Linked DNA regions of Xenopus tropicalis. The protein of the gene in region 1 interacts with the protein of each later gene in a biochemical or structural test. Links are inferred from orthologs where the notes say so. Each region holds a gene or a part of one and is shown on either strand. Other genes may lie near its edges. The genes, in order: dapk3 and pawr.

Region 1 (4,556 bases):
TCTAGCAAGGAGGAGTGGCTCAGCCTCTTTTGGCTGCATGCTGTGTCCCAAGCAGAGCTCCATCTGAGTCTGGGAGCAGACTGTAGGCCCCAGAAGCCATTGTACCCTAGAGGACATTATACCTCTAGTGAAAGTCGGGGACAGGGCCCCGTGAACGAGGATAAGCAAGCATAGCAGAATATTTAATAGCACTCTCTAGGAGAAGTGAGCATAGTCAGTTTTAGCTAGAAAGGGCAGACATTAGCCCCACCAAAGGAGACACTAAGGGTTTAGCCTACCCCAGGCTCTGTATGCCTTGCTGTAGGGACCACAGTTAAGACAAAGGATTCAGGCTAGTATTAACCCCTGAACCACCGTTGGCTGTAGGGATCCGTTCCAGTAAAGGGCATCCATCTTGGGACTCCTGGCTACTACCTCTGCATATATCCATTGTGGGCTACACTGTCTCTGTATGTCACAACTGCTGCTAACCACTGTGACATTCTATATCAACTGCTTGTGAGTATGTGATTACCCTGCTTAACACCTGTGGTGTGTAACAATAAAACTGTATTATAGTTCACCATAAGAATCCTCTGGCGTCCATTTATACTATCACACCACACAACCTCAGCATGTTGTAGTTCAACTACACCCTCAGCTCCATAGTACTTCACCCACTTAGCAGAGGCCCATGCCTAAGAATTAAGGGTTGCATGTAACACATGCTCTACATTACGCTACTAGCCTGGGTTTGCCTTATCTAAGTCAAAATAGTGTTACACAAACACTGCTAATTTGTCTGAAGGGGTTGCCAGCCTAAGGGTGAGTTAAGAAATAGTTTCCCGTGTCAGACCATTATAGTTCTTTTTCTTCAGGATCATGTATTTCTGAGGAGGAAAAAATACAAATATAAAGTTCTGATGTTTATGTTTTTGCTTTAAAACCAAAGAAGAAGCATTTTAAAAAAAGATGGGCTAATTTTTTTCTCCTCATCATATATGATGGATTACATCATCCATGAGATGCAAAGAACTATGTCTTTCTAACACAATTTTTTTTAAAACTTATGTTTTTCTGGTCAGTGACAGCACACAGAACTCAATGTGGTGCTCAAAATAAAAGGGTAATTAATTTTCTCTATATGCATATTTTACAAGTCTTGATTAAGCATACATAATCTCTTTAGGTGAAGAGTTTTGTATAAAATGTAACATAGTAGGTGAGGTTGAAGAAAGACTGGTGTCCATCAGGTTTCACCTTTTTTGCCTGTGGAGCCTGCCTAACAGCTATCATAGCTGTTAGGCAGGCTCCACAGGCAAAAAAGGTGAAACCTGATGGATACCAGTCTTTCTTCAACCAACCTCCACATTATGTGATCCGTAAAGCGCTCTACGCTATTCTCTTTTCTCTTTCAACTCGTAAATCCATGAAAGGTCGGCAGCCTCTTCAGTGCCTTTTATAAATCCGATGTACAGGACCATTCATGAACTGTAGACACAACAACCTGGACAAAGTAAACATATGACCACGCCTCTTTACTTCACAGCCAATCAGCTTGCGAACTGGGCAGGGTTGACGTCATTGCACAGGCATTTCGGTAACTGGAAGCCGGAAATAGGGAGGAGTGGGCTTGGGAGAGGTAGTTGAAGCACAGAAATCGATCGGAGAGGAGTCCCGATTTTATTTTTTGACAGAATGAGCGGATTCCGGCAGCAAAATGTCGATGACTTTTATGAAATGGGAGAGGAACTGGGCAGGTGAGCAGGGTCGAATTTCCACAAGTATGCTCTAGCTATAATTTTAGTTAATATTTGATTTTACTCGCGTCACGTTACTTTGATGTACCTCTAGTTTTAGATGTTTGACCAACGCCTTTTCCCCCCTTGGTCTTTAAAGCGTCAGCATTTTGTCTGTGGTAATTTCTTCATTTAAATAATAATTCCCCTGAGCCAGCTACTGTATGAAATTATTCGGTATACACATATATACACTCAGTATTGAGATGACTGGGCTTAAATTCTAATGGCCTGCTTTCTGGGTGTTCTGTACAGAGAACCTCTAAATGGAAATCCTAGTGAGTGTTGGTGTTGTTCATATAGGAACCTAGAGTTATTCTAGGAATTAACTTTGCAGCTCTGATTTGTGCAGAATTAATTGTACACATTTCTGTACTATGTTTGTATGTATGTATAACTTTATTTATAAAGCGCCACAAGGGTACGCAGCGCTGTACAATCTTACAGAATACAAAATTACACACAGGGAGGATGAGTGATATAATAAATAAATACAATAAATACATATATGTATATATATATATATATATATATATATATAAGTGCCATGTGGTATGAGACACAGTAGGAAGGAGGTCCCTGCCCCATAGAGCTTACTATCTGTAGTAAGAAGAATTTGAACTATAGTAAAGGTGACCATGGGAACCAAATTTTGTGTCCAATACCGGAGGGCTGTGGCACAAGCTTTGTCTGCATCAGAAAGACAAAATGATCCTTTCAGTGTTCCTAATGCTTCTGATTGTAAAGTGCTGAAGTGTCTGATGTACGTGGAGCTGTGACAGGTATACCTCTGCACCTAAACACCAATATGAGTGTTTTAATATTGGGGTCTACCTGCACTGCTTTGAGTGCTTCCACTGGGGCATCTGGCATTCAGTATCATTAGGAGCAGTGACAGAACATGGCTGGAGAAAACACCCTGTGGCCACTGCCCTTGGGTTTAAAATCCCTGGGATAGCATATGTATGGAGATGGCTGAAAAGTGTGCAGTATAAAAACAGCAGATTAGTTTCTTCAAGCGGAGAAAAATAAGACCAGAATCCAGCTTCATCATTGTAGAAAAATATTGCAATGTTCTTTTAAAGGACATGTAAACCCCCAAAATAATTTTTTTTGGCTTAAGAAAATAAACCATTATTCCAAGCAACTTTTCAGTGTGAATTAACTTTTTTTACTAGTTTAAAAGTTGTTTGTAAATGTTACTGTTTAAACAATGTTGAAAAGGTCAGTCTCCTCCAGCAAGTCAGGTCTGTAAAATCTGCTGGGTTGTGTTACATTGTTTCAAATGCCAGAGCCACCAGGGCAGAGAAAAGAAAAGGACAGGCAGACACTACTCTTATAGCAATTATATATACAAATAATTCAAAAACCATTGCAAATTTGTAATGAATGCATATTGTAAAGTTGGTTAGAATGATGTTTTCTTTTTATTTGGCAAAAAGTTATATTTTTGGTTGACTTGTCCTTTATGTTGGCCATACATAAAATGTAAAGGTAAAAATTTGTAACTGATTTTACAATCTATATGGTTGTTTGTTTACCTTAATCAAATGTGCAGCATAAATACAATTGATCAGATAACCTTGTCAGCTGTGAACTGTACCTATTGGTACCATCTGTCCAGGCCTATAAGCAGCACTTTGGACCAGATATTGCAGCTATAAAATTTTTTACATAAAATCTTTGCTGTCCTGGACCCCACCAGTCTAAATGTATTGTTCTACATGATGGTGACCCCGGCTAATGTTAGTTCAACCAAACATTACATCAACAGAGTTGATGCCAGTATCTCTCTATTTTTTTTTTTTTCTCCTGTTTACACAGCTATCTTTTTGTGTTTTGCCTGTGTTTGGACCATGTGTCTAACATCCCTTCAATGAAAACATGATTTTTCATGATTAAAACAAGAGTCAAAATGTATATTCAATGAGGTTAGGGACCTCAGATCTTGCTAGCTCCAACACTGTGCGCAGCTTGGGTTTACTAATTGATGGGGAATTAAACTTCAGGAGCCAAATTTCAGCTGGGGTGAAACATTCCTTCTTTCACCTAAGGAATATTGCAAAAATTAAACACCTCATTCCTTCTGAGGTTCTTCCAACCCTAGTTCACGCCTTCATCTCATCACGACTGGACTATTGCAATGCCCTCTATGCAGGCCTTCCAAATAAAGACTACACCGCCTGCAGCTAGTACAGAATGCTGCCGCAAGATTGCTAACCAGCCAACCCCGCCATTGCCACATAACACCAATCCTTCGCTCACTGTACTGGCTACCCATAAAATGGAGAATCCTTTTCAAAATTGGGATGCTAACATTCAAATCCCCACATGGCCTGGGCCCCGGATACCTGAAGGACTTGCTGCAACTACGTCACACCTCCCACAATCTTAGATCAAATGGATCCAATAATCTGACCACCCCCAGAGTTCAACTGAAAACCTTTGGATCCAGAGTTTTCTGTCATGCTGCCCCTACCCTGTGGAACGCCTTGCCAAACGGGATCAAGACAGCTCCAACCTTGGACACATTTAAATCAAAACTGAAAAGCCACCTGTTTAGCCTGGCATTTATGGCCACATAACTTATCTGAGACAAGCTTATGCGCTTTGGGTCCCACGGGAGAAAAGCGCTTTGCAAATGTTTGTTGTTGTTGTTGTTGTTGTTATATTCAGCTTAAGACCTATTTATCTATATGGGGAGTATACTGGGCATTTAAATAGCCCTGTCTCAAAATAGCATGAAATGTTGCCATTATGATCCCCTAGTGGATTTCT
Region 2 (4,401 bases), on another chromosome or scaffold:
CCAAAGGTGAACAACCCCTTTAAGTGTGATGTTCATCTTCCTAAATTTGCCCTAGCCACCAGGAAGTGGTTTGAATGAGAGAAAGGAAGATGAATAGGTGAGTCGCTGAAGAGAGATATAAGCAATACAAAGTACCAATGCAATTGAAGCATCCCAGAGCAATAGTTTTTTTTACTCCTAGGGTCAATATCACTCATATGCAAGCTGGAAAAAGACAGAACTCAAAAACTATTAAAAATTAAATCCAATTTAAAGGTTGCTAAGAATAGGACATAACATATCATACTAAAAGGTAAACTATGCCTTTAACAGCTGGATATCAGGCTATTGTAAAAAAAAAAAAATGCCTTAACTGCTGAAACAAAGTAATGTATTGCTTGTCTCTGAAGTAACAAGGATTAAATAAATCAAATTTACAGGGAGGAAGCAAGGAAAAGAACAGCCTTTTCCTTAACAATGTTTTGGTGTCCCAGAATTTAAAGATAAGCAAACCTCCACTCAGCAGCCAAAAAAAAATCATGAGAACTGGACATCAAACGCACAGCTTGTTACCAGCTTAAGGGGCATATCTGAATTGTGCCAGTAATACAAAGCACATGCCGTTTCTATTCAATTTTCTGCTGCCATCACAACAATCAGATCTTTTGCCCTGTTGCATGTGCCCTTCCTTATCCAAAACCCTGACTACAACTGCAGCTATTTGGTATACAAAGGTACTGATGCTGTGCTGCTTGTTTCGTCAAACTGAAAAGCATCTGCATCTTCATTTTCCTTATTCTCAGAATATTTATTTTTTACAATAGCATTTTTTTTTTTACAAAGCTACAGAAAAGGGGTAATTGTTGTTTTGCGGGCGGGGAGGGCGGGAGAGAGCATTCTGGCCACTGCTGAATTGGCTGCTCTGTCGCTCTCATCTGAGCTAACACTGGCTACTCTGTCAGTCACATCTAGCTAGGCAGCAACAGGTACATGCTGTGGCTTGTTTCACATGACAGCTACTATTGCACAAAGCTTCAAATGTAGCTGCCAACTCCTGGGACCTATCTATGGGCACTTCTAGCTATTCTTTCATGACCCTACAGTCACATTTGCAACTACAGCTGCTTATTTACCAACAGGTTGTGTCCTTGATTCTTTCCAATAATTCTGTGTTTATTTCCCAGCATGACAACTTTGCATGCTAATAAACGATCACAAACATTTGTGCCTCAAATCACAATTTTGTCAATGGTGGTTATTCTATGGGTGGACAGGGCTATGCCTATATTACACAGTTAGGTTGAAGACACACTGAGCTACTAGTAGCAGCTACTTGTCGTGGCTACTAAAATAGACAATGCTGATCATTTACTGATAATTTTCTGTGTGTTTTAGCAGAGGCAATTCTCAGTATTGTCTATGGCAGGGTGTTTTCTGCAGTTTAGTAGCCTTGAAAAAGTAGCGGCTACTAGTAGCCCAGTGTGTCTTCACCCTTAAAAAGGTCTGGGTATCCTATGTGTAACACTTGTCAGGTAAGGAGCAATTGCCAGACTGAAAACAGACCACACTGGCCAGCACATGACCACTAATAAGCTGCCAAATGGGTGTAGGTTTATGAAACAATACAATGCCAGACTGTGGTACCTGTGCCAATGCATACCACGGCCCCATAGAAAAAAATAATTTGGAGTGGCTTGTTAAATGTCAGACAACAAAGCTCCCTAGTGACAGATTATTAACAGCTAGCCAGCACAGAGCAGCCTGTCACAGCAGCAGCACGTCACTGAGCAAGCCATTAGCCACATTCCCTATCAATCCACTAAAGGAGACAAACACTGCATTGGTATATATGTGTGTATTGGCATTTATACAGTCCTACTTATAGCTGTACATTAAAACAAATCATTAACAGAACCCACTGGGAACAATACAATCATAAAATATAACCACGAAAACACAATGACAGAATATTAAGAGACAAGAAGGTCCCTGCCCCACAGAGCTTGCAATCTAAGCGGGTTGGTTAGCAATGTAAGCACGATTCTGTGCCCCAGAGCTCCCACCACTCACTTTGTACCTCAGCTCCAGGCCTTTGAACGTTTCAGATCAAACCAATAGTTTATAGTCAATGATTTGCCCTTCAAGCAACAATTTCTTTGTAAACTTTTGCCTGATTACAAAATAGTTCTGCGCTACAGAAACTGCTCTCCCACCTGATGCACTTCCCTGCGCTGCTCCAACACTACAATCCCTAGCATCGCACGGCAGCAGCTACAAACACCGGGAGCTGGAACCCAACAACAGCTGCTGCGCCGCAGGTTAACTACAGCGCTTAAAGGGAGCGCATCAGTAAGTAGCAGATAAGGCAAACTTATGGTAGAAATAATAATCCCCCCACGAAGTGAGCTGCCCCAGGTGGGCCGGCAAGTTGGCATGAGCGAGCCCATTACCTGCGCTGAGCGGGGGGAGAATCCAATGTGACACGAGTTCGGAATTCCCAGGACAAGGTGCGACGCCTCTCGCTCCTTTACTCACCTCTCCAGCTCTCGCTCGTTTGTTCGCTCAGTCCCTCGTCCCGGAAGAAGCCGAGACATTCCGATCAGTTCCGTAGATGGCCGATCTCCCGCGGGCACAGGGAGGCGGGCTTAGAAATCGTAACGAATGTTATCGAAACTCCCTCGAACTAAGCAGACGGCTTTTGACAAAAACTTCGTTAGGCATGGGAGACTCCTGTTTGCTGTAGGAATACTTTGCAGTGCGTTGCGCATTGGTCAGGGGCTGCTGGAAGCTGTAGTTTCGGCTTCTTATTGGACAGTGGGTCAGACAGTAGGTCAGGAAGCTGTGAGTTGCTTGGAAGGAATTACCTGTGCAACTGAACCCACAGTGGGAGGGACTGGGGTACCGGTGAGATTCCTGAGTGACATGGGTTAGAGCTTGCAGCTTGGCTAGGGTCGTGCAGAAATAGAGGTCTGACCTAGAGAAATAGAGGTGTCTGTGAGACTTTAGGGGGTCTGCTCTGCCTAGAGTTGTGGCCCCAGCATGACAATAAACCATTACTGGCCTGGGGCAGGTAACAGTGGCTACCCTGAATCATGTCTCTGGAGATGTACATTGCATTTCTAGGAGCAGGGTACACGTCTAGGGGCCCATTCATGAAACCACAAATTTTCACTAGTTAAAAGCACTATTGGAAAAAATTCGGAGTAACCACGATAATTTCTGATGTGCGAAAATTGCAAGAAAATTCTTTTCTTGGTCGTATGAAAATTGGTGGTTGCTATCCAAAAGTCACTAAATTTTCGTATCCATTTTCGTAAACCTTACTGGTTTTGTAACTTCATGTATAATTTTAGAAGCCTTCCATAGGACTCAATGGCACTCTGCAGCTCCAACCTGGCCAAAAGAAAGTCACAATACTGAAGCTTGAATGAATTCCGAAATGGTCGTAGTCTTTGCGAAAAATACGACTTTTTCATGGAAGATAACGCAAACTGTGAAAAAGTTGCATAATTTTAACAACATTATCATGGTCATTACGAAAAGTTTTATAAATTAGAAAAAATAAGTTTTTTTTTCTGGGGAAAATTATCGTGCTTTCATGAATGGGCCCCCTAATCTGATCTGGGTTGTCCCTTGCCCAGCATTCTTTGTGCCATTGTTATTAACTGAAAAAAATAAAAAGGAGGTATTTTTTGAGAAAATGTTTAACTGTTACAGTGCCAGGTGCTTCATATGACTGCCATTCAATTGTTAGCATTTTACATTCTGCTTAGGTGCATGATCTGATACATTAAACCCTAGAAACTCAAAGGGTTCTCTGTTATGTGAAAGTAAGGCCGTGGGGCACTTGCACACCTGCCTTAAAGTAATTTAGGTGCCAAAGATTCTGTATGAACTGCCTGCTTTATTGGGCAATGATTGCTAGGCTGGCAAATAGCCGTTGGCAACGGATGCAGCATAAAGTGTCCTGGTTTGGTAGCACAGCAGGGGATATTATTTCATCTATTTACACAAATCTGCCCAAGTGTGACACCAGCCACAAGAAAGCAGATTCATGAAATATATATGTACAATATACAGTCAGTGTGTAAAAAATCCTATTGTTTAATGTTTAAGTGTTTTTTTTTTAGTAGACTTAAGTTTATGGTGATTTAATAACAAATCATTATAGGAATGTCGCTAACAGGTCCATGCTGCTTATGTCAGTGCACAGTGATGTCTGGGCGGAAGGAAGCAGATCTGTGTTTTCTCCCTCGGCATAGATAAGCAAGCGTAGAAAATGCATGGCCCTTATAGGAAAGATATCCACCTCTGAATGCCTTCTCCAGGAACTTTGTGATAGTAGTTTAGTATGATCAGATTGCTAATGCCTACTACAAATGCACTGTGGGACGAATAAATAATGATCTAGTGTTTTGTTAA

The links.
Region 2: of the proteins of dapk3 (region 1) and pawr, one has a biochemical effect on the other in vitro, tested with the Homo sapiens proteins (2 studies listed by BioGRID). The link is inferred for Xenopus tropicalis from reciprocal best matches to the Homo sapiens genes DAPK3 and PAWR.

Annotation. Positions count from the first base shown.
Region 1 is NC_030677.2:93,134,486-93,139,041, forward strand, and holds the start of dapk3 (death-associated protein kinase 3), read left to right. Parts: upstream 1-1,633; 5' UTR 1,634-1,677; coding exon 1,678-1,739; intron 1,740-4,556. UniProt on the Homo sapiens protein: Serine/threonine kinase which is involved in the regulation of apoptosis, autophagy, transcription, translation and actin cytoskeleton reorganization. Involved in the regulation of smooth muscle contraction.
Region 2 is NC_030679.2:62,535,398-62,539,798, forward strand, and holds the start of pawr (PRKC apoptosis WT1 regulator protein), read right to left. Parts: upstream 2,805-4,401; 5' UTR 2,515-2,804; exon of another isoform or gene 2,430-2,514; intron 2,343-2,429; exon of another isoform or gene 2,193-2,342; intron 1-2,192. UniProt on the Homo sapiens protein: Pro-apoptotic protein capable of selectively inducing apoptosis in cancer cells, sensitizing the cells to diverse apoptotic stimuli and causing regression of tumors in animal models.